4 linked regions of the Pelodiscus sinensis genome follow. The protein of the gene in region 1 interacts with the protein of each later gene in a pairwise test. Links are inferred from orthologs where the notes say so. Each region holds a gene or a part of one and is shown in the gene's direction. Other genes may lie near its edges.

Region 1 (7,660 bases):
ATGAAATGCAAGCTCCACTTAAATCAATAGAAGTTTTGCCATTGCCTTCATTGGAGTCAGAATTTTTCATCAAGTGCTCTGACTTTGAAAGAGATAAAGTTTTATACTCCTGCATCTTGGCAGGAGGTTGGACTAGATGACCTTGGCTCCCTTCTAAAGCTATGGTTCTATAATTATGTAATGAAGAACGTCTCTCATTCAAACCATATCACCAAACACTCTGCAGAGTCATTGTGAACATTTACAAAGCTGAATAATACACATGGCCAAATTTAATCTCATCTGCTCTGTCCATGATGTTTCCAAGGTTCTGTCATTAAGGTATCTAAGGTAAGTGCTGATAGCTTGGTGGGAATAAAATTAAGAAGTGTAAGAAAGGAAGAAAAGTGACATTTGCAGTTGTTTTGAAAGGAGAGGAAGGAGTTGATGAGACACAGAGCTACAGGAAACCTATTCCAGATGGCAGCAGGTGTAGAGGAGAGTATTCTTACAATGTTGTTAAGGTTGCATGAAGGTACTGTACAAAGGAGAGGTCAGTTCCTGACAAGCAGAGGAACAAGAAAGGGAGAGAGGGGCCCATGGTAGGGTTGAAAAATGAAGATGTCAGTTTTGAATTTGATTCTGTAATTAGTGGGGAGTTAGCAAAGTTGTTGGAAAATGAGAGTGGGATGGCCTTGCACAGCATATAGTGGTCACCATTAAAAAGGCAACATCTGCCAAAAATCACGCAAACTATCGGAACTGCTACAGTACTGTCTCCTCCAGGCTAAAATAAGAAATAACTGTGTGGCATCTGCTGGGAAATGTTGGCTTTTTAAAGGCATTCACTTTATGTGGGAATACAGCAACATTCCACACATGGATTAAAAACTGGGACATGAAGATATAGAGAACAATAGTAGAAGTGAGGGGTGATGAATATATTGATGAGGATTGTAGAAGATGCTGCATCCTAACTTTGGTGTACATGGATACTGTGGTGGTAGAGATGGTGATAGGAAAATATATAAACATGGGAGATATGAAAGAAAGCAGAATTCTGACTGAAGCCAATAGAAGATTAAGACAAAATCACAAGTTTACCTGGTCATAGTAAGCAATTAAAGGTATCAAAAGAAGTAAAGTTGAGTGCATCAGTGCAAAAGTGGTGATGAAGGTTTGAGATGGAAGAGAAGTTAACTAAGACCTGGTCTAGAATAGACCCAGAAGGTTGATTTAAGGTGTACAACTCCAGCTATGTAAATAATGTAGTGAGAGTAAACATACCTTAATCTGAGCTTGGTGCTGTCTTCAGAGTGGGAGGTTGATGGGCGCAAACGCTCTCATTGGCTTCCTTTACTCCTCGGGACTGCGAGGAGTACCAGTGCCAACCAGAGGCGCCCTTAGTGTTCGGTTTAGGCCAGAGATCAATCTTCTGGCATTTGATTTAGCTGGTCTAGTAAAGTACCTTAAGCCGACCTTCCTAGTCTAGTATAGACCTGGTATAAGAGAGAAAAGGTAAATAAAAAATAGTACAGAGATGGCACCTAGCCTTTTTGGGGAACTCAGAAGGTGGGCAGAGGGGGGTTTCTCAGGATAGATACTGGTGGCTGTAGTAAGATGGAAGAGAAAAAAAGATATCCTCAGAAAAGTGATGGCCTTAATACACAAATGAGGGCAGTTTCCCTGCTTTGGCCTGAGTGAAACTTGAAAAATACATTCCAAGTTCCTCAGAGACTGATGGTATGTGATAGCTGTGTATTAGAATGCACCTACAACAGTTAATGTTTCTGTTTCTGACATCCAAATCCAGACTGAAGAATTCAAACAGCACATATAAACAACCTTAATTGAAAGGATTCGTTCAAGCATATATACCAGATATAGTTAATCTAATTTGAAATAAATTAGAGAAGACCATGAGATACATAAAGAGGAACATAATTCTTAGTGAAGAATTAGTTAATGAAAATCATAAGCCACTGAGATGCATTCAGCACAATGATTGTTTCCAATATCATACACATAATTGTATGCATGCTTTCTTCAATGTGAAAAGGAAAAATTCTACAACAAGCAAAATACAGTCCCACAGAAGAACTCCTGAGTGTGCACAGAGACTACGCTACTGAAGTGTACCACTGTAGATTTAAATTTAAGAGCAAAACATTCTGCATGTAGAATACACATAGGCACTTCCCCAAATAAGGGATGGTATAAATTACCCAGTGCTTCCAGAAGTGTAAGGGTGGATGTTTACTACTACAGTTCTCTGTGTAGTACAGTGGATTGGCCCTGCATTCTGGTCCCTTTTTGCAGGCTGGTGTAAAGGGCTTGGGACTGTGGTTTTACCTCCTCTCTTCCCTCATTGGAGCATTGTGCACCACTAGGGAACTAAATACAGAGTAGCCCCAAGTCACTCTGAGTTCAGGGACTGAAAATTTGCCTGAATTTCATTTGGGCTAAAGGAATATGAATGAGGATAATCAGGGCCTCAGTGAACTGCAATAATTTCAGTGAACTACAAGCATTTTTACACTGTAAGACTGGCACACGTCCTCTTTTCAAAAGAGTTGAAAAATGCTCTTAATCTGCTATTTTGGCTAATTTTTCCATATCACACAAAGGCAGATATTTCTCTCTCTCTCTCAGGTTTATCTAACTTCTAAATAGGCTTAGCAGAATTCAATTTTTATTGTATAATTTCAAGAGATATTATGATAGATACTTATTTTAAGTATTTTTTATTTTTATTGATTTAAAATTTTCACACTTGTGGGAAATTATGGGGGTGTCAGACAATAATGATATAACGATAATAGATGTTGAGATTCAAAAAGTTAAAGTTTTCTAGTCAGTAAGCCATAATTTGTAAGCATCAAATACCAAAACATACGAAAATGTTTGCAAGCAGCAAACGTTGCCTATCTTGCACATTTCTATTATTTTTTATGGCAGTATTTTCCCTTGGTTTGTGTTTATACAATGAATTGACTTTTACAGACATTGACCGATAAAAATCTCATCCTTATATGCCTTCTCAAATCTGTATCAAACTCAGGACACTTGAACATAGTGCATAATAAATGGTGCTAACTTGGCTAAAACTAGTTAAAATGAATTAATTTAAAGGTGGAATCTGGAGTCTGAATCAGTCAGATATGTAGTGTACAATCTGAGTCCAAAATTAAAATAAATATCAGGAGATCTAAACACGACTACTTATCTAAATAAGAATAAACCTATGCATAAAAATTTGTATTTCCTTATTTGCAAGCTCTTTTGGGCAGGGAATTTTGTCTATGAAGTACCTGACAAACTGTGGGTGTTATATAAATAAATGTACCAATTATACAAAGATAAACCCAGCATTTCATTGCACAAATTACTATGAATTAGAATACTTGACTTTTGCAACTCTGTTTGGAAGTTGCAAACTGCATACGACTGACCCTAATGAGAATTTACCATTGAAGTAAAATCTCTTTAAAAATATTAGTTTTTGCATTTTATTTGATATGTATGTATATGTGATTTGAACAGATCTGTGGTTGTTGTGTGGATGTATGTCTTTTTGGATGTGTGACATGTATGTGTAATATTTGTGTGTGTTGTTTACATGGCACCTTCTTCATTACATAATCCTGATTAATTTCTAGCACTTTCCATCCTTTGTACCAAATGAGTGTCTTGTAGAAAAAACAGTATATGATCATATAACTAAATACCGTATACATGGGCAAGCTTAATTTTTGCATTTACTAGCTTTGAAGTACTCAGTAGCAACCTTAATGTTATTTTAGCATATACTTTTCGGATGTAATATACGTGTGATGTGCAAAGCTGTGTTGTATATGAGTGTGTAATATATATATATATGTGTGTGTGTGTAGTGTTGTCAACTCTTACAATTTTATTTGTGAGTTGTGTTACCATTTGTTTTCCTTGAAGACGGAGAAGCTGGAATTTATGCTTAAATAAAAAAATCTCTAGTTGTGGAGAAAAGTTTGAAAATATGCTCCAAGTGCACACTAAAGACTCAAAACCCAGAAAGCCAATAAAACCATATGAGACATACACACAGGGCTCAAAAACATAAAGCCAATAAAACCGTCTCTCTCTCACACCCACAACACTTTTTCTTAAAAAAATCATATTGAATCAAATCTTATGCTTTTTGAACTCTTGAGGCTGCATGTGAGTGTATATATGTGTATATGTGTGGGTGTGTAGTGTACATGTGGTGTAAACATGCAATGCATGGGATTGTATATGTGGAGTAAGATATATTCCTATATGTAGATCGATGGTGTGTATGTGTCAGGTGTGGATGCATATGGAAATGAGGTGGTGTGGGGTGCACGTGCTGGTGTGGGGAATATCGGCGGTGTGTGTGCATCTCTATCTGTGGGCCGTGTAGCTGTGATGAGGCAGTGAGAGGCGGGGGGCCGGCGGCTCTGGGAGCCCGTGAGGGGAGAAGGGTTTGGCTGCGTGTGCAGGGGGCCGGGCTGGGGCGTGGCTCGCGGAGACCGTTTGTCGCGGCCGGTAGGGCCAGGCGGGGGCGCTGCGGGGCCGCCTCTGGGCCTGGGGCCGGCGGCGGCAGCGAGTCCGCGGCGGAGGATGTGGTGCGGCGCCAGCGGCGAGAGGCGGCCCGGGCGCGCAGGGCTGAGCCCAGGTGAGCGCAGCCGCGAGCTCGGGGCGCGTTACCGGCCGGTGCCCGCCCGAGGGGCGAGCGCAGCAGCCCGGCCTCGGCCCCGCGCCGCCTTGGGAGCCGTTAGCTCGGGGGTGCCAGGCGCGGAGCCGGGGCGGGGCGGCGGCAGGCAGGGGCCGTGGGGCTGCGCTTGCACCCGGCAGCCAGGGCCGCGCTGTGCTCGGCGCTGTGCAAGCGGGGAGCCCCAAGGGACCGGATCAGCCTGGGGGCGCCCAGCCCCACGCTGGTTAGCGAGCCTGGGTGAGTGGCTGGGCAGGGTAGGGTCGGGGTGACTCGAGGGGCGGGTTGGCCGCTGCTTTTCAGCAGTCATGGAGATCAGGACTTTTTTTTTTAAAACTTGGCGTTTGTCCCCCTGTTCTTGCCTTGGAGGGGAAGGGGGATGAGGAATGTTTGAGCAAAAGCAAGTGGGACAAATATCCAGATTTTCCAAAACAAGTTGTGATGTCTATAATCAGCTGGGCAGAGTGGCCACACCAGGTGGTTCTGGTCTGATGAGCTACCTGGAGTCACTACTTACCCAGCATCCCGTTTTCAGTTTAGAAAAATATGGTGACCTTAGTTCTGGGTCCTTCTGCCAGGGCTGGATAGTGTCCATGAGGCTTCCATCTGGGAGGGCTCCTCTTGCTCTAATGTTCTTTTCTTCTTGAGCAGACTAGAGAAGCACTATCAACACCCTCAAATCCCTGCCCCCCAAACAAAACAAAAAAACCCCACCCAACCTAATAGAAACCAGATTGGATATTTTAGCTCAGCTGCTCATGGTAGATGGCTTTGATTTTAAGGGAAATTGTCCTCTGCTTAAATATGAACTATCCAAATAATTTTAAAAATATAAATATTAAAATAAATTATGTTCATTATATTCTTCTTTGTACAGTACTTGTAATGGCTTTTCTGCTAATCTGCCTATGAATCTGTTGCATTTCTAAAACAAATTTATCCATGAACTGTTTGTTCTCCCGCTGAGTGTTCTAAATAAAGAATACCTGGTCTTTACCATGTGTGGATCTCAAAACATAATGGCTGTGTCTAGACTGGCATGATTTTGCGGAAATACTTTTAACGGAAAAGTTTTTCCGTTAAAAGTATTTCCGCAAAAGAGCGTCTAGATTGGCACGGATGCTTTTGCGCAAAAAGTGCTTTTGCGCAAAAGCATCCGTGCCCAGTATAGACACGCTTTTGTGCAAGAAAGCTCCGATGGCCATTTTAGCGCAAAAAATTAAGATGACTGTATACACTGGCCCGCGCAAGAGGGCTTATCCCTGAGCGGGAGCGTCAAAGTGTTTGCGCAAGAAGCACTGAATTCTTACATTAGAATGTCAGTACTCTTGCGCAAATTCTCGTGGCCAGTGTACACAGGCAGCAAGTTTTTGCCAGTCTAGACGCACCCAATGGATATTACTGTATTAAACAATTTAAGCCTCAGTATTCTTGTGGGTTATTATTCCCATTGTGTGGATGGATCTTTAGTTTGTTTCACTATGTTCTGTGTAATCAGCTGGTCAGTTTCTCTGTTTGTTTGTATGAAAGTTAAGGAGAGAGCAATATTTTTCAAAGCAGGAAAAGATGCCATTGTAAAACAACAACAAATTGACAAGAGACTTCATAAACAGCATGCCTGCATCTAGACTGGCAAGTTTTTCCGCAAAAGCAGCTGCTTTTGTGGAAAAACTTGCCAGCTGTCTACACTGACCGCTTGAATTTCCGCAAGAACACTGATGATCTCATGTAAGATTGTCAGTGTTCTTGCAGAAATACTATGCTGCTCCTGTTCGAGCAAAAGCCCTCTTGTGCAAATGCTTTTGCACAAGAGGGCCAGTGTAAACAACATGGTATTGTTTTGCGCAAAAAAGCCCCGATCGCAAAAATGGCCCATAGTTATAGTCCTAACAATCCCAGGAGATTAGAGTTGGATATGAGAATCTTTTATTGAACCAACTTTTGTTGGAGAGAGAGTTGGCTTTTGAGCCACACTGAGCTCCTCTTCAGGTCTTCACACCAAAAGCTTCTCTTTGTCACCAAGAGAAGGGACTGGTGTAAGGTCAGAAATTGCCCTTGAATAATTAATATGCTGGTGTCCCTTTAAACATGAAGTAGCTTCTTCCCCCTTTTTTCTCCTGCAGCCCTAGTTCAGCTGCTCCTTCCTCTCATGTTGTAGATGAAATAAAATATTCGTGGTCAGCCTGCTGTTGAGCCTGATGATGGCCTACCAACTTCCAGCTGTGTTTGCCCCGCCAGTTAGCTCTGTGATACTTGAGTACACCTGTGGGAGTGCATATTGGCAAGCCTAGCTGTCTCCTATGGGAATGCAGTGGTTATGATCTTTCACAGGCCCCAAAATGACATGAAATTTTAGTAGGGCACCACTGTATTTGTTTTTATTGCTTTTGTTCAACCAGAAAGCCTGACAGTTTTGAAATATTATTACAAAATATACAATACAGAACTTATTATGTGTGTGGAAAAGTTTCCAGCACTCTTGGAAAAAATATTTTGGCTCTGCAATTAGAGGCCTACATTTTAAGCACAGTGATGTCAGTAGTTAAAATCCACAAATAAGGCAAGCAAACTTAAACTGCAGTAGAGATGGTAGCTTTTCTTTTTAAAGCCTTGCCTACATTAAAAAGTTTGATAAGTTTAAGACAAATGTCTTTTGATTTAAAGTACTAAAAACAAATGATGATCCTATGGGAGCAAGTGTCAGATTTTTACAGGTTTCTCCTTAGTTTAGTTTATGGGAACATGGTAACTACAGAACTGGAAAAACTATAAAGAGCAAACAAAGGTCAGAAAGGGCAACAGTAGTTAATTTCAGTGGTAAAAACTCCCAACCTTTCAAAGGCTATGTGCAATTTGAAACTTAGTTGGAATAAGGGATATAATAATGTATCCATTTAAACAGTTAACCAAGAAGCATGAATGTATCAGTGGTTACACATCAGCTCCCAGCCCTACTCCTAGGGGGCTGGC
Region 2 (7,533 bases), on another chromosome or scaffold:
AAATTCCTTTACCAAAGGGTTCTCTGCCTTCTTCCTTCTGGAGGTCATAAATCCCATTTTCATCTTCACAGGCATTCAGAAATTTTCTGATCTGGCTTCCTGTTACATTCAGGGACAAGAATACATAGAAATGTAAACCCTACCTTTGTATTTATATATGGACACTCTGGATATTTTCAACTGAAACATTTTTTTACCTATCTTTCAACATATTTTATGTTGAATAGAAATTGGAGCTTCAGTAACTTTTCTCCTCTAATTTACTTTGCATATTATTTCATGCCATTCTGTTTGCATTTGGTTAGCTTTATGGACTCTATTGTGTATTATGGAATGTGAGAGACTCCTTCATGCCTTGAACAAATACAGTGAATCTGTCATATATAAACTAGTCTAAATACTCCATTATACTTCAGAGTTGATTAACATTAAGCAGTGGCTTTAAGGCAGAAATTTTGTTCTGATCAGTCTGTCAGTTTTTACATGAAATTGCCAATAGAAATACCTCAGTACCTTAGTTATATTAAGGTCTAAATTTAAGAAATCCTTCTGTAAAACTTGTGTATAAGTATTTTAAAGTTATTGTTTGTATTAAAGGCATTAGAGTCCATGTGAAAATTCATTTTGTATCTGACTGCCCTAAAGTCCAAAGAAGCAGCAGATGTGTTAATGAGGCTGATTTGACATCTGTCACATGCAACTTTGTTCTTAGAGATAGCAATGATCTCCATCTTTCCTCAGGGAGGGCCTTAAAATCAACAGCTCTTTCATTTTAACTTAGAAATTCTGATTTCTGCTAATGATGCAACATTCCTTATTTATATGCGTTAAACTTGGTTTTACACCTATATAGACAATATAATGGCTTCTGAAGAATAGTTCACTGTTTTTTGTTTCTTGTTTTTTTTAATGTGTATAATATTTTTACTATGCATTTCATGAAACTAGAAGGAACTCTGCACCCATTGTCCACCATATGAAATAAAGCTTTTTTTGTCTGTAAAAAAACCCAAAGGTGAAAGAGCACATAACAGCTTTGTGTCTTCATCAGTAATAATATTGTGCTATTATATGAAGAAAATAGAAGACACTATCCCCTTGGCTTATCTAAAAATGAACTGAACAATGGTATCGACCTATGTAGGAAAAAAAAGCCTTTAATTTGGACTGACATGGATTGTATTAGTTTTACTACAGTTTGTGTATGGAAGTACTGAAATAATTTCATAGTAAGAGTGTAATGGTGAATTATCGTAAGAATGGTTCATTCTAGATTCTAATTGAAAAGGATGTGAAGTTTAAAACTTTTTTTTAACCTAAAGCTGCTGCAGTTTACTTTTCTCTGCTGGTGCCTGTGATGGTGCCAAGTAAGTTTCTGGGAATCCCTAATAGATGACTACCAATAATGCGGTTTTGGGTGGTCAAGCTGATGTTATTTTTGACAGCTGGGGGAGTGCAAGTACGTCACTTGAGAGGCTATTGAAGAGGTAGCGATTATGTGCTATATGTTAATATTTTCCCCATTTCTAGTGGACAGGTCTCTATATTGTAATTGGATAGATAATTGACACTCTCTGACAGGAAGAGATTTAATATTAAATTATATGGCTAACCAGAGGGTGTCTTATTCAGAAATAGGGTGGGACAATGTGGAAACATGTCTATCATTGCACATAGTATAGCATTTCAGGTTTTGATCCAGAATCTTCCTCCACCTGCCCTCATTGCACTGCTCATGTGCTTCAACTGCACACTGGAGGGTCATATCTAGTATTGAGGAGCTAATTCATTTTGCATATTTATTTGATATTGGACCTCTTTGCTGAGTATTGACAGCCTTGTAATGAGAGCTGAACTGAGCTGGATTCCAAATCGCTGGACTGGACACCAACAGACTCATTTTTCGTAGGCCACTTAACAGCCATCATATGGTAGCCACTTGCTTGCTGTTGTCTTAGGCTCTGTTTGAATTAGGTACTAGAATTAACTATCACTCACTGTTATAGATTTCCCACAAACCAACCAGACTCTCTCTTTTTCCCCTCTCCCTTTGTATATTTGAAGACCCTTTAATTCAGAAATAGTTCAATAGTTCAGGTAAAAGTTGTTCTAACAAAATGAACAGGATTTTACATTGTCATATGTTACTGCATTTTTTTCACTGAGACCTCCAAAAATGTCTTGAATGAAGAGCAAGTTCTGAGAGAGAGGAAAACAAGTAAAATCTCATTACGTGATCTGTATGTATTTGGGAAATGACCACTGAAGCAAAGATTTTCACAAAACACTGCTACAAACACTGCTCTACAAAACACTACTACAAACAATACTTAAAGCAAGATTTTGGGCATATAAGATGATCTACTGACAAAACTTATACTACAGTGTTTAATATATATCTATATAGCTTAAATTTTATATCTTGAACTTTCCCAGGAAATGCATGGGGAAAATTCCTAGATAAAAGAAGAAAACTATTTTTTTAAAGTTTGATTGCTTGGAGTTGGTAATACTGATAGCTGTTCTAGATATAATGTTGTTAAAAGGATATAGGAGGAAATTGTCAAAAGTGCAAAGAGCAATAAGGTACTCAAGATCTAGTGCCTTGTAAAATTTCTTCCACTGTTCCAATTTATTTAGTGTAGCATCTATTCTTTACAATGCAATTAAATACATTTCTCTTCATTCATTTTTACTATCTAATGCTTACTCTTATGGCCATCTTGGATAATGTTTCTGTTTAATACTGAAAATATTGAATATTTTGGTTTAATATTATAGATTTTTATTGTATGGATCATGTTTTATGACAATATGCAAGGCAGAAAGCTTTGTATATTTTTAGTTATTTGGGGATATTGATGACGGTGCATGCTTTTATAAATATCATAAGGATGTTGAGATTTTCTGCCTTAGGTATAAAAAGGCTTTTGCAATGGATTGCCATGATTTTTGAAACTATATTTAAATGCAGCAATAAATGTATTTTTAAAAATGTTTCCACTTTATGTAATTAGCATAATCAAAATGTAACCCATACTTTAGGCACTACTAGAGACAATTATGAGCTACCCCCAAAAAGGTGGTAGCTCATTGGATCTCGTGATGTCTAAGGTAAGTTTCTGTTGCAACTGCTTTTACTGTTTGACAATTTGAGTGTTGGCCATTTTGCCCTAGTCCAGGATATTTAGAGATCATCTCAATGCAAAATGTAATGGCATGTATTTACATAATTCCAAATGCATGTAAAGGATTTGTTTTAAGTACATATACTGCATGTTCATTTAAAATACGGTGGAAATGGGAAATCTCAGACGTGAAATACTGTTGTACATTGAGGACTTAATTGGATTTAAATTGCTGTGACTCATATTTCCTCTGTTGCAGTCCTATAGGTATTGATGCAATGTCAGTAGAAGATTTTTGTTTTAGCTTAATTGCTTTAACAACCTTCACAGGAGTTGAAAGAAAATGTATGTTTGTGTTTTTAATAAAGAACAAAACCTCAAAACTCTGATCCCATATATTAACTGACTTACTGGAGCTATCTAGCTAAAAATAACAGAGAACAACATAGTTTACAGGGTATAATTACAGCATCAAATGTTTCTATTAAAATGAGACTTTTTTCAATTGTTGCTCTGTGTACCAGCTTTATATAAAAAGAAAAACCTCTCAGCTATGCAAATGCTCAATATTTTGAAACGGATCCTTTTTACCTTGCATAGGAGTCTAAAATGTAGACAGTTTGTATCTTTAACAGTAATGCAAATTGAAGGTGCCACTGCACCTTTTAGTTGTATTATAAAAATCTAAACTTTGCTTCATGTTCATTTTTATTGTAAATTAAAAGTTTTTATGTAAACATTCTGCTTTTTTTTGTTCAACTTTACAAGTGTGTGCTACAGGCAGGAACCTGAAAGTGAGGGACTAAGAGCATGAAAATAAACATTCCCCTGATGGAAAAAATGAATGCACCTTTTCAATTATCTTTTGTTTTAAATCTTTCCTTATAAAGTAAGCGACTTCAGTAGTCTCCGCTCAAATAATACTCGGATTTTGAGGGGATGCCATTCAATGGGAGGCCTTACAATCGTGTGAGATCGCTCTGTCTGTGCTGCAGGGAACGCGGGCTAGAAACTGAGTTTGTGGGAAGTCCAAACCGCCTGTTTGAGCAGCCCAGGCACCGCCCGCAGCCACTGCAGCTTTCCCCTGCGCCCAGCAGAACAGCCTCCGCAAACCTCTCCCAGCCTTTCGGAGCCTTTCGGATTTCTCCGTACTGCGGGTGGCGTCTTCGGCTTCAGTCGGCTATTTCCGTGCGCAGGTTCTGAAAGCCGTTGCCTCAGCGGGGTGGGGCCCTCGCTCTTCGGTTGAGTCCGGAGCTATTCGAGTAGTTCCGTAGCTAGAGACCCGTTCTGCGGGGTTGACGTCATATCCGGGCCGCTCCTCTATAAAGGCTGGAGCTGGGCGGCGCGCGGGGAGTCTGTCGGGAGGAGAACTGTGGGCCGTGGACTCTTCCGATAGACTTGGTGAGGTCGGAGCGCGGGGCTGGTTCTCTCTTCGACGGTGCGAGGGCTGGGCGGGCTGCTCGAAGGCGAGCTCGGCTGGGTTCTCCCACGGTTCCCCGGGTCCTTTAGCCTGCGGAAATGTAGCGCGCCCCTCCCGGTGGGTTTTACGGGCGTTGCGGGCGCAGCCCCGTTACCCCGGCTTCCCTGAGGCTCGCTTTAGGGCGGCCGAAGGTTGGGTGGGTAGCGGTGCTGGTTCCTTCTGTGGATGCGGGAGCTCATCTGGGAAAGCGATGGTGCCTCGCGACACCGCCCTGCCTGCCTTCTCGCTTCCCCGGGGCTCGCCCCCGGCAGGCGCGGGGGATCCGTAGTGATACTCGGCTTCCCCGTGAGGGATTTAGCGCTTTGATAGTCTCTTCCCCTCTTCTCCCAGGCTCGCTGCTTGACACCCCAGTGAACCTAGTCTCTGCAGAGAGACGCTCTTTATTCTCTCCCCCTGCCGTCTTTCTGGGCTCGCTTGAGTATAGGCGAGCTCAGGGTGGAGTAGCAATGCAGGGAGCGGTTTGCGTTTCTGTTGCTCTTCCCTGATGGGCGAGGGAGGTTGTTTGGCTGGAAGACCAGAGGATTCTTGTGTGGGAAAGAGAGCGAGGCGGATCCGCCCTGTGTTGCTCTCAGCCGCAGTAGCAGGAATTTCATTCACTGCCCTAAGGAGGGAATAACCACGGTGATAAATAGCAGTGCCAGCAAATCTCCCCTCACTCCCAAAAAAAGAGTAAGGGAGCTATGCTTCCCCCCCGAAGCAATCGTCTCAGCCTAATTACTGCCCCCCCTTTTTTGAAGAAAAATCTGGAGAGAAAAATTGAACACAGGCTGTGAATGTCTCGAATGACCCTGTCAATGGGTTCATTTCAGAGCAATGGCTTCCCTAAGCATTCACAAACCCATCCACTGTCCAAGGTCAGGAGACACAGAAAAGTCAATGAGAGATTCTGTATTTCTAGGTGGTGGCTGGAGAATTTATTGACCAAGATAAATATGTATTTTTAAATAATCTTGGTCTTTACTATATGAGGCAAGTTTTAATTGCTTGATTGAAGTGCACACAGGAAAATCCTTCATCCTAACTGGAAGAGGCTTTTTAAAAGCCTTACAATTAATCTCCTAAAATGATTGTCCCCTTCCAAATGTGTGACTTTGCAAGACTTGAGATGCCTGACATAATGGGGCCTGGAGGGAGGAAGATCATGTCTCTCTTTACAATCAGATAAATCAGGATTTTGCTTTTCTCACCTTGTTCCTGCAATTACGGAACATAACATATTTCTGATAAATCAAGAGTATGTCAGCCATGTTTGTTCTGTTTTATGCATAGTAAAAGAAATACATGTTGGTACTAATGTAATCGTGTTAATATTTAAAATCATCTTTATTTGGTATTTCAAATGTCCATGTGTATGCAGCAGAAATGTTACAGTAACTTTACTCTCCAGTCAGGATTCTTTAATTAAATCATTCACTGAAAAATTGTATCTTAAAATATACATGGTTAGTGAGCAACTTGTCACTCGGTTTTAAGTAGACTCGGGAAGACAGTTGTGTTGATGTGACAAATGGTATGCAGGAAAAAACCTCCCTGGACAGTCTCCTGCATTTTTATGGGATTAACAAATCAGGCTTGCTGTGAAATTTGTATTGAGCTCACAGGGTATTTATAAAATGTGTTTGGAAAAGAATGAAAAAAATGATTAAAAACTAGGAGGCTTTGTAAGTGGAGCCACTGGACTGTGTAAAATCATTGAACTAATAAGAGGTTCAGTAGTGCTCAGAATGGGGTAATTTAATTCCATTTCTGTTGTAAGAGAAATCTTACCTTTGGAAAGGTCAAACCAAGTTTCAACAATAAAAAAAGAGATAGGTGTGCCTCTATGATCTTCATAGTAGCTGAAATGAACAAACACATTTTATTTTACCTTTAAATTTGGTATTAACCCCATCCAACATTAAATCTTGTTTACCATCTGTCCCGATGCGCAAGCAAGGTAAGAACAGTCTCAGTCTTTTCAGACGGTTGCACCTCTGGGTGTTGCTCATATTTGCAAGTTGTCAATTTTAAAACTATCCCTTTCATCGCTTCATGAAAATAATTTTAAAATTCTTTATTGCCTTAATTTCACCTGTCAGACCTTTGTATACTATTCATTTATCATATATTTTTGGATAAAATATGTCTTATTCTTGGGATGTGAATTGCTTGCTTTCTCGCTCACCAACCTAAGGCAAGTAATTTTAAGATGACTTTTTTTCCCCTGATACAGTAGTTTTTGTCTCCCTCCCCCTAACGTGTTCCTGGACCGGTCACAAGAATAATGGAGTGGAGCATATTGCAGATGTCTTTTGAGGAAGGCTGTCAAGTGCAGTACTGCACCATGGGCTGTTGCTGACCATAGATCAAAACAAAGTGACAATCTGACTTCTTACTACTGTAATGGATTTGCCCTAAACGATGATAATGCTGTGCTAGATATGCACTTGCTTCAGAACACACAGAGGCACATAACTGCAGTTGTCCATATATAGGAACATGGATTGCAGTATACCAATGGAAAATGCAAAGCAGAGGATGCAGGGAACTGAACAGATTAAAATTCAGTGTATCAGCCATACTTACTAATTCACTTGTTCCTTGAACAATCATCCCTCCCCCCAAAATAGTTTCCGTCACGTATTTTGTTTACTCGCACATATTTTACATGGGATGTGAATTTAAGTATTCTGGAGGAGATTTTATATATAAAGCTTTCTCTTTAATCATGTTGTTTTCTGAGACTGTATTTAAAATCACCCAGTCTGATGAATTTGTGTGTGGAAGTGTAGATTACCAACTGAGATTACTTTCTTTTTTGCATTATTTTCCTTTAATTTTGGATATGGGAAATTGTGTGCATCCTAAGTCAATTCTCAATTGTTTTAATTACAGTTGATAGATATTCTTAACATTGTTGCATGGGGAGAGTGTTGTGCGTGCAGC
Region 3 (8,031 bases), on another chromosome or scaffold:
ATTTGTGTCAATAAAGTAGAGTATAAAAGAGAAACGGGCTGATAATTTAGACTTTCAAAGGGTCTCTGACAGGATGGCTCATCAAGAGGCTACTTTAGAAGCTAAGTAATCAAGGAACAAGAGGCAAAGTTCTGTCATGGAAAAAAAAATCAAGCTGGTAGATAGAAAAAAAACTCTAAATGCTTTGTAGCTGTAACTTAATCACTTCTTCCCCTGTTTCTCTCTTGCCAACTGAAATTGGTTCAATAAAAGATATTCTAATGGCAATGAGTTCCATAGTCTAATTACACACTGAGTGTAATAATATTTCCTTTTATTCATTTTGAATGTACAGCCTGTTAATGCCTGTCCCTTTGTTCCTCTATTGTGGGTGAGTGAGTAGTGACATGGCAAAAGTTGCTGATGATCCAAAGTTATTTAGATTAGTCAAGACCAGCAGGAACTGAGAATTTCAGAAAGGTATAAAAAAGCAAGTTGCATGGACAACATGATGACAAAGGATATTCAATGTCAATAACTGAAAAGTACTAGATAGTGGAAGAAAAATGTAGACTGTTTAGTTAATTTAGAACCTCATATAGCGTATATCAACTCAGGAAGGGGACTTGGCCATCATTGTGGACATCTTAGGGGAGATAATCAATATGCTGTTGAAGTAAAACACCAAACAAGATGTTAGGATACATAGGGAATGAGACAGACAATATTATAATGCCTTAATAGTGTGACCTCACCTGGAATACTGTGTGTATTGCTGGTCACTCCATACCAAAGAGGATATGAGAAGAATGAGAACCTGGCAATTGATCTTGTTGCAAGAAGGATGACAAGAATGATTAGGGAGCAAAGTGGCTTAGACGATATCTTTTACTGGACCAACATCTGTTGGTGAGAAAGTCAAGATTTTGAGAAGTAGTCCCAGTAAAAGATATTACCTCACCTATCTTGTTTCTCTAATAATCCTGGGATTGATACAGCTGCAACACCACTGCATACAACAATGATTAGAAATATGGAAAAACTCACGTGCGAAGACAGATTGAAAAGACTGGGATTATTTACCTTAGAAAGGAGATGAATAAGAGTGGAGAGAATAAAAGTATATAGAATAATGAATGGGCGCAAAAAGGCAGAGCAGGCACTTCTGCTCTCCCGATCTCATAGTACAGGAACAAAGAGACAGGCATTAAAAGGCTACCTATTTAAAATAAATAAAAGGAAATACTATTGCACACAACATGCAACTAGACTATGGAATTCAATGCCACAGGAAGTTGCTGAGTTGCCAGAAAATCAGCAAGATTCAAAATAAGGATGTTAAGGAACAGGTGTTTGCTAAGTGTGGAGTCAATACAATTGGATACACGATTAGTCGATAAGGGGAGGCATTCTCTGTGACCACTGCACCTCTACATTTTAAAGGTAATAAGAGCTTGGCGGCTCTTACTACATTTAAAATGCAGAGGCACAGTGGTCCTGCACCCATATGAGCGGGAACTGCTCAGTCCCAGTTCATGCCGGGCCTGGCAGCCCCTCTTTGTGGTGCCTGGAGCTGGGCACAAACAGGGACTGATGCTGATGCAGCCCCTCCCCACAGCCAGCCTGGCTGCTGTGAACAGGCATTGCTCTGTAGCAGCAGTTCCTGTTTGCAGAGAGGCCAGAGCAGCCTCCTTTGCCTCCCATCCCGAGAGGCAGCACTGGGCTCTGCCCTCCACTTCCTGCCTCTCATACCAAGGCAATGGGGAGGGAGAGTGAGTAGTCGAGTACTCCACTTGAACCGCCATTGTGACATGGCTGTGAAAAGGCTAATACGGTCTTGGGATGTATTAGGCGAGGTATTTCCAGTAGGGATAAGGAGGTGTTAAGTGCCATTATACAAGGCATTGGTGAGACCCCATTTGGAATACAGTGTGCAGTTCTGGTCTCCCATGTTTAAGAAGGATGAATTCAAACTGGAACAGGTACAAAGAAGGGCCACTAGGTTGATCCGAGGAATGGAAAACCTGTCTTATGAAAGGAGACTCAAGGAGCTTGGCTTGTTTACCTTAACCAAAAGAAGGCTGAGGGGTGACATGATTGCTCTCTTTAAATATATTAGAGGGATCAATACTAGGGAGGGAGAGGAATTATTTAAGCTTAATACCAATGTGGACGCAAGAACAAATGGATATAAACTGGCTAGTAGGAAGTTTAGACTTGAGATTAGACGAAGGTTTCTAACCATTAGAGGAGTGAGGTTCTGGAACGGCCTTCCAAGGGAAGTAGTGGGGGCAAAAGATCGATCTGGTTTCAAGATTAAACTAGATGGGTTTATGAAGGGGATGGTTTGATGAGATAACATGATCTTGGGAACTAATTGACCGTTCATTATTAGTGGGAAATAGGTCAATGGAGGGATGATAGGAGTTACTTTAGAGAACTTTCTTGGTGTCTGGCTGATGAGTCTTGCCCATATGCTCAGGGTTTAGCTGATCGCCATATTTGGGGTTGGGAAGGAATTTTCGTCCAGGGTAGATTGGCAGAGGCCCTGGAGGTTTTTCGCCTTCCTCTGTAGCATGGGGTACAGATCACAGCTGAAAGATTCTCTGCATCTTGGGGTCTTCAAAGTATTTGAAGGCTTCAATATCTGAGATATAGGTGTGAGGATTATTCTAGGAGGGGTGGGTGAGATTCTGTGGCCTGCACTGTGCAGGGGGTCAGACTAAATGATCATAATAGTCCCTTCTGACCTTAAAGTCTATGAGTACTCCACTTGACTATTGGATACGTTTATGTTTATCGTAGTCGAGTAGTTGATTACTCGCTTACATCCCTAATTCAAAAAGGGTCTACGACAGTTGTAAGACCAACGTGAATACTCAGAATTAAAACAGTTATTGCTAAAATATATGTATATATAATAAGAATGGTCGATCCCCGGATATTAAAGAGAAAAGCTGGGTGATGTAATCTTTTTTTTGGATTACATTTTAGTGGTGAGACACACAAGGATTTGATTTTCACAGACTTCTTCAAGAAGAGCACGACAGCTAAATATAACCTTGAACAGATAGAATATGTGCTAACTACTTATAACAGTGGTTCTCAACCTGTGGCTTATGGGCTGCTTACGGCCCAGTATGGGCTGCTTGCGGCCCAATCAGCACACTACTGTAGCCCACTGATAGAGCCCAGGGGATAACTGAGAAGCCTGGTGCCAGTGGGAAGCAATGCCAGGAAGCGGTGAGTGCAGGGAGGCCCCACCCTGCTGCCAGCAGCAGACTCCTGTCACGTTGCTTGGGGGCAGGAGGAGGAGCTTGGGGGCAGTGGTGGAGCAGGGATGGGAAGAGGTGGGGCAGGAGCAGAGCCTGGGATGGGCCTTGGAGAAAGGAGTGGAATGGGGGCAGGGCACCCACCCCAAAGGACAGCCCTGCCTGTTGACATTCTCTGGATCATACAGCTAGTTATATATATTATGTGGATTGCAGCCCACATAACACAGAGCTGTATGTTCAGCTCACCTTGGTAAATAAGCTGAGAACCACTGAGTTATGCTAAATTAGGGGACCATTCAAGGTGAAATGGTATGTTAACATCCCTGTAGTCAGAGGGGAAAAATATGGGCTAGCTGGTTACAGCATGTTGTAATAAACCATAATCCAGTGTCTTTAGTCAGATCTTCATTTTTTAGTGTGGACCAAAGTTATGAGTTTAAGCTCCCAGGCCCATCTTTTGAAAATGTTATGTTGTACATTTACTTTGAAGATGAGGACTGATGATGAGTCAGATACAGAGGGTATGTTTACACTACCCCGCTAGTTCGAACTAGCAGGGTAATGTAGGCATACCGCACTTGCAAATGAAGCCCGGGATTTGAATTTCCCGGGCTTCATTTGCATAAGCGGGGAGCCGCCATTTTTAAATCCCCGCTTGCTTGAACCCCGTGTAGCGCGGCTGATTTGAAGTGGTTTCCATTATATACAGGATGTACAGTATAGTTCTCTCAGCAACCTCACTATAAAAACTGTTCCAGTCCCACTGCACGTAAAGTAAGCACAGATCTCTGAGTAGCTGTATTAGACTGAAACTAAAAAAACAATGGTCCTGTAGCACCTTAGAGCCTAACCAAAAAAAATATACATATTATCATAAGCTTTCATGAGCATAACCCACTTCTTCAGATGTTCCTTGTAAACTCTATAGATTGTCAGGAAAAAATTAATCTAAGAGGTATCATTCCTTTAAGATCAAATATGTTAAACAACAGATGCCCAGCTCCCTCCACAGAACTGTTTATCCTTTGCAAAGCACAAGCAGGGGCGGTCCATCCATATAGGCGAACTAGGCGGTCACCTAGGTCACCAAGTTCAATGGGGCACCAAATGGTGGCAGAATATCATTGAGGGGTTTGGAGATGGGGGGTGCTGATTGCATGGTTTGCCTAGGGCACCAGCTGCTGGCAGCTAATTTAGGGCCGCCCCTGAGCACAAGGCTCTTTGCCTAAAAGCAATAAACCCAGTCTATAAAAGAAGATTATTGCGCATCAACACCTGAGGCAAGTGTGATTGTATTTACTGCATGTGAAGGGTGCTGGCTACCACAGGTACAGCAGGGCAGCTCCCTCCAAGAGGGCACCACCAGCCAGGTCTGCAGAGATTTCTTCATCCCCACCCTTTTGATTTAGGTGTGAGTGGGCCAGGAGATACCTCCTGTTTGCTGGCACTGACATGGGTGTGAGTGCAGACACAGGTGACCCATGGTAGCACTCCGGAGGTGCACCGCCCCCCATGGCCCTACTAAAATTGTAATTAGTAGATGGGATGCTGCCATGGGCGATCGCCCTGCACCGCAAGCACTAGCCGCCCCTGGCTGCAGACAGTACCCCTTCGCCTGGGACCCTGCTCAGTCCTCCGGGCCAAGGCCAGAGGGCCCGGGAAAACGGACGAGCCCCACCGCGGAGCAGCGCCCAGCTCCCTTCACGCCTGCTCGCGTGCCGCCGCCCTCGCGCCCTGCGACTGGCGGAAGCCCCGCCCCTTGCTCCTCCTCGCGCCGCCGCGGGGAGCCGCTCAGCTGATCCGGGAGGACGCTCCAGCGCCGCGGCAGTGTCTGGCGCCGGCCTGGGGACCAGCCGCGGCGTCTCGCGCTCTGAGCCTCCTTCAGCCAGTCCAGCGCCGCGGCCCGAGCTCGAGACCCCCCCCCCCCCTCCTTCCCCAGCGCGCGCGCGCGGCCCCCCTCGCCCTGGGTCTGTAACCGCCGCCTGCGGTGGTTCCGGGCTGCCCGTCTAGCCCCCCCTCCCCCCACCGCTTCGCTCCGCAGTGCCCGGGCCTGCCCGCCGCGCCCGCCCCGGAGACCCGCCGCGCGCCGCCGTAGTAGCTGGCAGAGGCCGGGATGTCCGGGCAGCAGCAGCAGCAGCTTCCGTTGACGGCGGCTCCCCAGGCCCCGGGGATCGCCGCCCCCGCCGCTGGCGCCGGCCCCGCTCCGGTCCCGGTCCCGGCCCCGGCGGCCGCGCTGCTGCTCCACCCGCCGCCTCCCCCGCCACCGGCTACCGCGGCGCCGCCGCCTCCCCCGCCTCCGCCCGTCGCTGGGCCCCTGCCCGCCATGGGCCTGCCCGCGGGGAGCAGCGCCCCGGCCGCCTTCCCGCACGGCGACCCGGCCCTCAACGAGCAGGAGAAGGAGCTGAAGCGGCGGCTGAAGCGGCTCTACCCGGCCGTGGACGAGCAGGAAACGCCGCTGCCCCGCTCCTGGAGCCCGAAGGACAAATTCAGCTACATCGGCCTCTCGCAGAACAACCTGCGGGTGCACTACAAAGGTGAGCGCCCGGCCCGGACACGGGCCCGGCCCACCGAGGGGGGCGCCCCCTCCCGCGTGGCCCCAGGGCTCGGCCCCACGGGGGAGGGAACCCCCGCTCCTGGACCCAGGGCCTTCCTCCATGGAGCGGGGAGCCCGGCCACGGCTCTGTGTATCGACGCGCACATTCTGGAGGGAGGGGGGCATGTTTACATGCAGGCCACCAGGGACCTCTTGCCCAGCCCCCTGCGCGCCTGGCTTCTCACCTCAGTGCCCCTTCTCCATGAGGCTAGTCCCCTAGTGGGTCCCCTTTTCACCTGGAAATCTCTCTTGGAAAGGGCAGCAGCCTGATCCGGTGTGTGTGTTGGGGGGGAGGGAGAGACATATCGGGAAATATCTTTGTGGAATCTCCTAAACAGTTTACATGATGGGCGTGATGATCCGGATTCCTCTTTTTTCTCTTACCCCGAAGTATAAGCCTATGGGAAAGCTCACCAGATCTTGTCTCCTTTCCCACTCTGGATTTTGGGCTGATGGGCTATAAATTAGTAGCCTTCCTCAGCTTGTCAATTCTGCTATCAAATGAGAGTTTGAGGGCAAGCAGGAGAATAAAGTAGGATCAGCATGGTGTCATGTGTCTGTCTACAAAAAATATGCTTTTTTATTTAGAAGTGAGAACAAGGGCTATAGGGAGTTATAAGATCAGTACATGTAAAACTACCAAACACGGAAATGGCAGGGAGGGGAAGCCACCGAGAAAATACTTCTTGGTCTGTAGAAAATGAAACGTGTATGAAATAATATAATTTAAAGTAGCCCCTAATAATAGTCCCTGGGTAAATACTATATGTAATGTAGAGCATGCTTTAGGAAATGTTCAAAATTAATTTAAAATGTAGGAGTGACCTAATCTCATACTCTGTGCTCAGGTTTCTCAGAGATCAACTTACAATATTGTAAGGCTTTTATTTCAGAAGAAAAGATATCCAAATCATATACACTCATGTAAATCTACCAGAGATGACAATAAGGTACTTTAACTGGTGATAGTTGTGAAAAATATTATAAAAGCTAGTAACTTGAGTTTACCCTGACTTGGAAAAAAAATTCTGTCATTCCAGGCCCAAATCCTATGTAAAAGTGCTTCAGATTCAAAACAGTTTCTGATTGGCAATAAAGGGAGGTCAGATTGCAGTCAAAATGAGTATAGAGGGGAAGGAGAATAACCCTGAAATTCAAGTGAAGTCTTGAAAAACATGTTATGGTTGATTCAAATGGGAGGAAAATGGCACACAAAACATACAACATTCATGACTGCCATGAAAGGTGAGGTGTATTCTGTAAAATCTACCACAGGCAGACACTAATCTATTGTTAAAAACAAAATATTCATTTTAAGTAACACAAAGTTTGAGGCAAACTTATGAAAGTCAGTACATTCAAATTTGATAAGCCTTATTGTAGGCTCTTCTTTGTATTTTATTTGGAAGACAACAAGAGTTAGTTAAAATTAACATTGTGTTTTTTATCTTTGAAGTTTCTGGCTTTTGTTTGGCTTTGTATGACTTTAAATATTTTAGGAGTATTTTGTATGTACTGGGATCTGGCTGCAATGAGGATTCTCTTACACTTGGCCAGGGTGGGGCTTTATGGATGGCTGGTCTTCCTATTGTATCTTTGTAAACTATTATTTAAAAACACACAGTATATAACAAACAGGTAGATATAGAATCTTTCCGGCCTTTTTTAATGTGAAAATATTGTTTTTCTTTTTCTGTTCCTCATCCTTTTCAGAATGTAATCATGTGTGTTTGAAATATCGATAGTTACCAAAGATATAAAGGGGTAGCTGGTTAATCGGTTACCCAGTAAGTTTTGCCTTACAAGCATGCTTACCAGGATAACTTGTTAACCAATGGGTGTCCTCGCTGGAGCAGCCCGGTGATGTGGCAGGCCCTGCACAGTCAGGCGGGATCAGCCCCTGACCACTGCTGTAGTGTGGTGGCCTTGCCCCCCGGTTTTAACTGGTTAACATTTTAAATAGGATTTTATATTTATATAATGGTTGCATGGTGACCACTGGGCACTTGGGAACTGTGGAGACAATTGTCATAAATGTACATTGACTAATTACTGTTAACCGTACCTGATTCAGAGGTGAAGAATGATCCCAGTAGGGATCACCAGACCAGTCCAGGAGAATGTGGAACAGAAATAGAGTGGGGTGAGGAGTAACTGTAAAACACATAGCCTATAGCAACTTCT
Region 4 (7,970 bases), on another chromosome or scaffold:
AGTGACAGCAAAATTTTCACATGCATAAGGCTATTTTCATGGAAGTGTTCTCCCTAGCTCTAAAGCACAGCAATACCAAAATGACCCGCTCTGACAGTTAAGAAGCAAGTGGCATTAGTCCTATGGAAGCTTGCAGTGCTGAACAACTACCAGTCAGCTGGGAATCAATTAGGAGTGGGTAAATCTACAGTGGGGGCTGCTGTAATTCAAGTAGCCAAGGCAGTCATTACCCTTCGGCTACGAAGGACAGTGACTCTGAGAAACATTCAGGACACAGTAGAGGGCTTTGCCATGATGGGATTCCCTAACTGTGGAAGGGCAACAGATAAAACACACATCCCTAACTTGGCAACTGACCACCTTTCCACAGAAAATTCAAGGAGTACTTCTCGATGGTATTGCAGGTGCTGTTGGATCACAAGGGTTGTTTCACTGACATCTATGTGGGATGATCGAGAAAGGTGTGTGATGCACTCATCTTTAGGAACTCCTGTCTCTTCAGAAAGCTGCAGGATGGAACTTTTTTCCCAGACTGGAAAATTACCATTGGAGGAACTGAAATGCCAATTGTGATCCTTAGTGACTCAACCTACCGCTTGCTCAAGAAGCTGTACACAGGCAGTCTGGACCACACTAAAGAGCAGTTATAGGCTGAGCAAGTGTAGAATGGGGATAGAATGTGCACTTGGACTAGGGATGTTAAATATGGTTAATTAAGTAACCATGTAACCACTGAAAATCTTAGTGGTTATACCAGCGTTTCTCAAACCCAGGGGGGTCACAAGCAACTTGGGGGAGGGGGTCACAGGACATTCCATTTTTGGGGGGTTTTGGGATAGTCCGGTAAAAAAATGGAAAAAATACCAGACATGTGGAATGTCCAGTATTTTCTAGTTTTCTGGCTGGGCGCCCGACGGAAGCCTGGAGGAGGCGGGAGGAGTGGCTGGGAGGCAGGGCGCAATCAGCACTGAGAGCCTCTGGTTGCGTGTGACACCTTGGGGAGGAGGGGAAGCCCTGTACGTGTTCCTGAGCGCTGGTCAAGCGCGTTGTGGAACCTCAGCCAAACTCACTCGCGCTTTGCCGAGACTATGCGTGGGACGGGCAGCACCCTGGGATCTGCACGTGCCTGGGTCAGTCCTGCTCCCCGCCGGCAAATTCGCCCCCCCCCCCCCCGCCGTCCAGTTCTCCCCCACTTCTCCTCCCAATCTTCCCCGGCCAGCCCCGCTACCCCACCAGCCCTGCTTTCGGGGGCCAGTTCTCCCCTCCTCCTCCCGATGTCCCCCAGCCAGCCCCCAACCCCCCACCAGCCCTGCTTCCCGCTGGCCGGTTCCCCCGCGATCTCCCCTGGCCAGCCCCAATGACCCCCCAACTCCCCTGGCCAGCCCTGCTGCCCCCGCCAGCCCTACTTCCAGTGGCCAGTTCTCCCCTCCTCCTCCTGATGTTCCCCAGCCAGCCTCACTGCACCCAACCCTCCACCCCACCAGCCCTGCTTTCCGCCGGCCTGTTCCCCCACACAGCCCTGCTGCCCCCAACTCCCCGTTTGCTTGTGTAGCAGTGAGGATGGGGGGGTCACACAAATTCACTTAGAATTTTAGGGGGTCGTGATATTACAAAGTTTGAGAACCCCTGGGTTACACGATTACATGCTGTGGGCTCTGCAGTATACTGCAGAGCTTGCAGCGCAGCCAGTTCCCCGGGAGCAGGGGCGGCAGTCAGCACACACTGGGAGCCGGCTCCTAGCTGCTGGACCCACTCCAGGGGAACCAGCTACACTGCAGGCTCTGTAGTATAAGCTTTATACTCTGGGGGAGCCAGCTCCCAGCATATATCTCCTCTTGCCTGCCAGCACTGCTCCCAGGGAGCTGGCTGCTGCCCTGTGCTGCTGCCTCTGTCCGTGCACTGCCGCTCCCCCAGCGGAGTAGGAAGGGGTGGGGGGAGAAAGGGCCGTGCACAGAGTGCACCAGCAGAGCCCAAGCGCTCCCTGCTCTGCAGAGCTCCAGTTGGGCTCTGCGTGGTCTCTGCCGGGACTCCGGCAGCAGCTCCCAGGAGTGGTTCATCAGCTCCAACCAGCGCCCCTCCCCCTCCGCCAACAGCGGCAGCCGCCTGTGGATGATGGAGGCCGGCTGGAGGCTGCACACGGCAGAGGCAGTCCCATGGTGGGAGCGAAGGGCGTGCCGGACAGCAGCGTGTGCTGCAGGGGAGCTTGGCACTCTGGACACTGCGCACCATCCTGGGTTCCCACGCAAAGCAACAAGGGAGCCGCTTACGTGCTGAGTGGTGCTGGGGCATTACTGCTGCACTGCACTAGTACTAGGTGTCTGCGAGGGAGCCCCAGAGAGGGTGGGAAATGGCAGTTCTGTTTGTAGCTGGATCCCAACAGGTTTTCTGGGACATTTGCCACCTTTATTGGGACACCAGGACAGAACCCTTAAATCTGGGTCTGTCCTGGAAAAAAAGGGCTGTATGGTTACCGTATGCATAACACTTCTGAAAGTAAGGGAGGGAAATTTCATGTCAGATTGGGAGGTGGGACTTGAGGCAACTTGCCTAGCCACTAATTGTGAGAAACCAGACATCAGGGCAATAAGGTGAACACAGCAAGGGACACTGATAATCAGAGAGGTTTTGAAAAACAGGTTTGTGAATGACCAGACAGTGATATGGCAATCTTGTATGTTACTTTATAGGAGATGCCCCCTGCATTAAGTGTGCTGGCCTGTAAACCCTGTGACCGGCGCAATCTGCCCTATTCCCCCATGCAACAAAAGCAATAAAGATACTGTTGTAGAGAAACTTGTATTTAAGGATCACAAGAAAGCAGAGACTGAAAAGGAATTCCGAGTGAGAGCTGGGGCAAGGGGAGAGAAATCACTGAAGAGGAAATTCCAGTCTTCTGTTCTGGAAGACCCAGACTGTCCATTTGCCTCCTTTGTCTTTTGATACGCTGCCTGAGTTTCTTTATTTCCATGTGGCACTGCTGGGCATCCCTGGTGTATCCTTTTTCCACCATGCCCTGTGTAATCTTGCATTGATATCAGCATTTCTTTTTTTGGTTCATAGTTCTACCTACATAGATTCATCTTCCCCATTTTTTCAGGGATTTTCCTTCATACTCAGAGATGAGCTAAATTGAAAGTACTGGCCCTAGGGGCTACACGGGGGCACGGTGGGACACCTTCCAGAGGCCAAGAACATTGACTTTTAAAGCACTGTATCTGCACTACCCTACAGTTAAACTTAAAAAACAAAAGCTGATTGGGTAGCACTTTATAGACTAACAAAACATCGAATTTAACTTTGCTTCTTGCAAAAAGCAAGAGTACTGCAATCAACTTTAACAGCCCTTCAAGTCAGGGGAATGGGGTTGGTGATGTGGACTCTTTGTTTAGCAAATCAACTTAATGCAGCTAAGTTTGACCTAAACTGGTAGTGTAGTCAGAGTTCAGTGCAGCTTCACCTTCACCTTCAAGTCCGTATTCTATGGAGAGCAGGGAGGTGTTGTAGGGTGATCTCCATGCAGCCAGGGGCATTTGCTTTGCACTGCCATGCTGGTGCCTGCACATTTATTGACAACAATGAGATTTGCATATTATAGGCAGAAACTTTTTTAGTGGAGAATTTTTAATTTTTGGAGCAGAATTCCCTGGGGAGCATCATAATCTTTGACATGTTTGAAGACTGTAATCATGTCCCTCCCCAATAGTCTTTTCTCTGATTAAACATACCCAATTCTTTCAACTTTTCCTCTTAGTCCACGGAGGGCCCCAGTGTGCAGGGTGGGGGGACAAAACATTTTCTGGCAAGGTGATCTGGCTGTCGATCATCTGATCGGGGAACTGCAGCCTGACCATTTTTAGATCATGTGGCAATTTTCTTTCTGAGGAAGCCTTCCTCCCAGAAGTCCCGCTCACGGCTCAAAGCCCTTTCTGCTCTCAAACCCTTCCCTACACTTCCTCCCGAAAGCCCAGCCCGGCTAGCCCAGCAGAGCGCCGACCCCAGAAAGGGAGACGCACGAGAGACTCCAGCAAGGCCGCTAGGCTGGCCTCTGCTATTGCTGTGGATTGGCTGTGTCGGGCGCTCAGCTCCTCCCGCGATGGGAGCAGCCTGCAACTCAGACCGATGGATGCCGGCTTTGTGCTGCAGAGCTCGGCTCCCCGAAGCGCCCCTCCGAGCCGCGCGCTTCCTCAGACGGCTCTGCAACGTGGGGCGGCACATGGGAGCCCGGGCTCCGGAAGGCCGCCGCAGTCGGGGCTGTCTGAACTGAGAATCGGCCCCGCCCCTAGCGAGCAAGGCTGGTCTCCCAGCCCAGGGCGGGCCCGGCCGGCAAGAGGGAGAAGGCGGCAGAGTGGCAGGGCGGTATGGGGGATGGGAGGCTCGGTGCGCGGCCTCTCCCAGCCCCGCCGCCAGGGGAGCGGCGCGCGGGCCGCGAAGGCGCCTCACTCACTCACGCGCTGCAGTCAGAGGCAGAGGCGCGCGCGCCCGCGGCAGGGGCTGTGGTGGCCGGGCTAGGCGTGTCCCCCGCGGTGGTGCGCGCGCCGACGCCAGCGGCGGTTGGCGCGGCCCCCGCTCTGTGGGGCGGAGGGGAAGGCGCGGGCGCAGGCGCTCGCTCCCTCGCGGTTGCCATGGCCCCGTTTGACGTCACGGGCAGTGTGGTGCCCGTGCGTTGCGGCGCAGTGATTGGCGGAGACCCCGTGTGCGGCGCTGGAGAGAGGCTGCAGCGGAGAGAGCAGCAGGGCTAGAGGTACAGTCCGCGCCGGCTACTCGCCCAGAGACACTCGCGCCGCCGCTTCCTCCTTACGCAGGTAACCGGGCCCACGGCAGCGCTAGTCCCACGGGGCGCCCGCGAGGGCGGAAGGAGCTGGCGGGGCAGCGGAGGCCCCCTCCCCCCGCGGTCCTTCCGCAGGCAGCAGGGCGGCTCCCCGCGCCGCGCTCCCGAGGGCAGGGCGCCGGGGAGCCGGCCGCCGGGCAACTGTGCCGCCGCTGCGGATGTGGCCTCGGCCGCCGCTGCACAGGTGAGGCCGGATCCGCCCCGCCCTGTCCCGGCCACTAGGCGGCTGCCCGGGGAGTGGGAAGCGGAGCCGTTGGCGAGGCGGGGGCAGCAGCGTGTGACCCGGGGCAGGGTCAGCGGGGGCTGCTGCTCTCGCCGGGCCCTGGCAGGTGAGGCTGCGGGGGGTGGCTCGCCGGGCCGGGGAGGCAGCGGGCGCTTGGGGAAGGCAGGCGCGACCCTCCCCACCTGGGCGCGCGGGGCCCTGCGGGCAGGGCGCGGGCGGCTCGCTGGCTGGGTGTGGCCTCCCGCCGGCCGAGCGGGGTTCCTGGGGCCCCTCCTGCGGTGGCCCCGCCCCGGATCCCGGCGCTGGTCACTGGGGGCCCCGGCCGCGGGGAGTGTAATGGGCGCTGTGCCGGGTTCCCGAGTGGCCGCGGCAGCTCCTGCAGGGCGGTGACTGCGCTGGCGCCGTGGGGCGGGCTCCTCGCCCCCGTGGCTGCGGCTTTCCCTTCCGTCGCTGTGTTGGGGCGGGGGCTCGGCGGCCGCCTCCCCACGGCGCTGGGCTGAGGTGAGCGGGGTTAGCGCGTTAGCCCGGTGGGCTGGGCTCTGGCATGGATCCGCCATGACAAAGAGCCCGGCGGAGGCGCTGCCTGTCTCGGAGCCGGGCGGATGCGGCGGCGGCCGCAGCGCGGGAGGGGCGGCGGGAGGAGTCTGGCCCGGTCGTCCCTCCTCGCCCACGCCGTGTCGATTTCGTGTTGTAGCCGCCCAGTTCCCCGCCGCCCGCGCTCCGTGTAGCCGTGCCCACTGCAAGCGCGGCCCTGCGCTGCGGCGAGCTCAACAGCACCATTTTATGCTGTCAAGACACGATCTAGTGTATAGAGAAATCGACTGGCATTTTCCCATCCTCGCGGTGCTTCATTAAAGTAGCTTTTCCTCTGTTAAAGTGCAGCAGTGCTGGCTAGGATCATGGCGTGCTAGTCTAGTGGCGTTGGCTAGCCAATAACCACAGTTTGATAAACTGGCTTTCAGATAAGATTTTAACTATTTGCCTGTCTAATCTATTCTGGGTGGTAACAGCTGTAGGTGAAACCATTCTGTAAAATGGCTTCTTAGCAGTGTTTGCAGTATGGTCAAAGGCCTTAAACCACCCTGGCAAATATTACAGAGAAATGGGAGCAACTAGTGTTGGTTAAAACAGCTACTGAAACGTGCTATAAATAACCTTGAGATGATCTGATCTCTGAAAAAGATCCAAATTTATTTCATTGAGTTTAAATACAAGAAATTCTATTCCAGGTAGTCTTATGTGAAATATCACTTGTATAAGCCAAATCAAAACTGTTGGGGTCAATGTTATGGCAATTGGAATATGTAACATAAAAACACAGTATGCTTAGGTGAAATGATTTTTCACTTTTTAGCCTCTGCAGTTAGTATACTAATGAACCATATAGCTAGTGCATATTGTAGGGCTCAAAATAATTATCAGGAGCCAAAAATTCATGAAGTGTGTGTGTGTGGGGGGGGGGAAGATTCTGACCAGTTAGAGATACAAAAGGGTGTGCTTTAATCAAGTTAGGTTAGTATGATTGAAAGGGCTTGTTAAGATGCAGTCCTGAAGGGCTACAACACACCCAACTAACATTTGCATCTCAATGATGGTTTTCACTCAAATTGAGCAATTTAACCCATCAAACCATCACTAGAGAGTTAGAAGAGCAATGCCCAGGTGAGAAGCTTAGAGTCTCCCATTCTAGCATGGGTGTATAATTAGGGCCTGAATTGTAATATTAACCTCTGGGTGTCTGAAAGTTTAAAAGCAGACTTCTTCAGGGAGTAGAGTTCTCTGCTACTACTTCAGTCTGGAGGGTTTTTTTTTAATTTCTATTTTTCATTTTTTGGGGTGTTTTTTCTCTGAACTGCTTAAGGGTAAGTTACTGATGCTCTCTCAATTTGTTCTCTAATCATCAGAATAATGCAACTGAAGAAGTTAATGATGCTGCTTGGAAGTCTGAAGAGAATTCTGAGCAGTGGCAAGAGTTGTCACTACATACTTGAACAGCACAGAAATGGTGCCCCTTAACATTCTGAATGTGGTGATTTTTTTTTTAACAAATGATTATCAGTACTAATTAAATAAAGGTTTGAATTTGTAGAAATATCATAGCTTGAACACTTCCAAGTCACTAGTTTTATATATATTCCAGCATTCAGGGCCAATTTAGAGTGCCTTAATTGCATAATGACAAGCTAGAATATTGCATATTTTTTTAAAAAAAGACTTGTTTTATATATATGAGGCTATTTTGCCCTTGATGAATATTGTTTGAATAATGCCTTCGTGTTTTCCCTCTTCAGCAAAATCAGCATGGATAAAAATGAGCTGGTGCAAAAGGCCAAACTGGCTGAGCAGGCTGAGAGATATGATGACATGGCAGGCTGCATGAAGTCTGTGACTGAGCAAGGAGCTGAGTTGTCCAATGAGGAGAGGAATCTTCTCTCTGTTGCTTACAAAAATGTCGTAGGAGCCCGTAGGTCATCTTGGAGAGTCGTCTCAAGTATTGAACAAAAGACGGAAGGTGCTGAGAAAAAACAGCAGATGGCCAGAGAATACAGAGAGAAAATTGAGACAGAGCTAAGAGATATCTGCAATGATGTGCTGGTGAGAGATAATAAAACTGTATTTAATTCATGTTTTCTTAATATTAGGGGATAAATAGTTTTGACCCTGTTCAGCTATTTTTCAGTCCCTTGCTAAAAACTGAGGCATTCCATGCAAGGCATCCAAATCTTGCAAATACCACCACTTCTGAAAAACAAAGTTGGATAACTGGATGGCGCCTCATCCTTAAATATATAATTCCAAAACTTGTATTAAAGTTCTCATGGGCATCAACTCTTAACATATTTGCAAATATGTTTAAACTCTATTGTACATAGACTTTATATTCCATTGATTTCTTGATTTTGTGTGTATTTGTAAATA

The links.
Region 2: the proteins of DISC1 (region 1) and SPTAN1 interact in binary tests that used the Homo sapiens proteins (3 or more experiments, as listed by UniProt). The link is inferred for Pelodiscus sinensis from reciprocal best matches to the Homo sapiens genes DISC1 and SPTAN1.
Region 3: the proteins of DISC1 (region 1) and RANBP9 interact in binary tests that used the Homo sapiens proteins (3 or more experiments, as listed by UniProt). The link is inferred for Pelodiscus sinensis from reciprocal best matches to the Homo sapiens genes DISC1 and RANBP9.
Region 4: the proteins of DISC1 (region 1) and YWHAZ interact in binary tests that used the Homo sapiens proteins (3 or more experiments, as listed by UniProt). The link is inferred for Pelodiscus sinensis from reciprocal best matches to the Homo sapiens genes DISC1 and YWHAZ.

The regions. Positions count from the first base shown.
Region 1 is NC_134713.1:124,055,496-124,063,155, forward strand, and holds the start of DISC1 (disrupted in schizophrenia 1 protein), read left to right. Parts: upstream 1-4,514; 5' UTR 4,515-4,599; coding exon 4,600-4,654; intron 4,655-4,710; exon of another isoform or gene 4,711-4,930; intron 4,931-7,660. UniProt on the Homo sapiens protein: Involved in the regulation of multiple aspects of embryonic and adult neurogenesis. Required for neural progenitor proliferation in the ventrical/subventrical zone during embryonic brain development and in the adult dentate gyrus of the hippocampus.
Region 2 is NC_134732.1:11,491,213-11,498,745, forward strand, and holds the start of SPTAN1 (spectrin alpha chain, non-erythrocytic 1), read left to right. Parts: upstream 1-4,455; 5' UTR 4,456-4,529; intron 4,530-7,533. Other genes in the region: mRNA export factor GLE1, read left to right, coding at 1-50. UniProt on the Homo sapiens protein: Fodrin, which seems to be involved in secretion, interacts with calmodulin in a calcium-dependent manner and is thus candidate for the calcium-dependent movement of the cytoskeleton at the membrane.
Region 3 is NC_134712.1:106,033,846-106,041,876, reverse strand, and holds the start of RANBP9 (ran-binding protein 9), read left to right. Parts: upstream 1-5,020; 5' UTR 5,021-5,367; coding exon 5,368-5,788; intron 5,789-8,031. UniProt on the Homo sapiens protein: May act as scaffolding protein, and as adapter protein to couple membrane receptors to intracellular signaling pathways. Acts as a mediator of cell spreading and actin cytoskeleton rearrangement.
Region 4 is NC_134712.1:35,253,057-35,261,026, forward strand, and holds the start of YWHAZ (14-3-3 protein zeta/delta), read left to right. Parts: upstream 1-4,891; 5' UTR 4,892-4,986; coding exon 4,987-5,012; intron 5,013-5,418; exon of another isoform or gene 5,419-5,552; intron 5,553-7,342; coding exon 7,343-7,646; intron 7,647-7,970.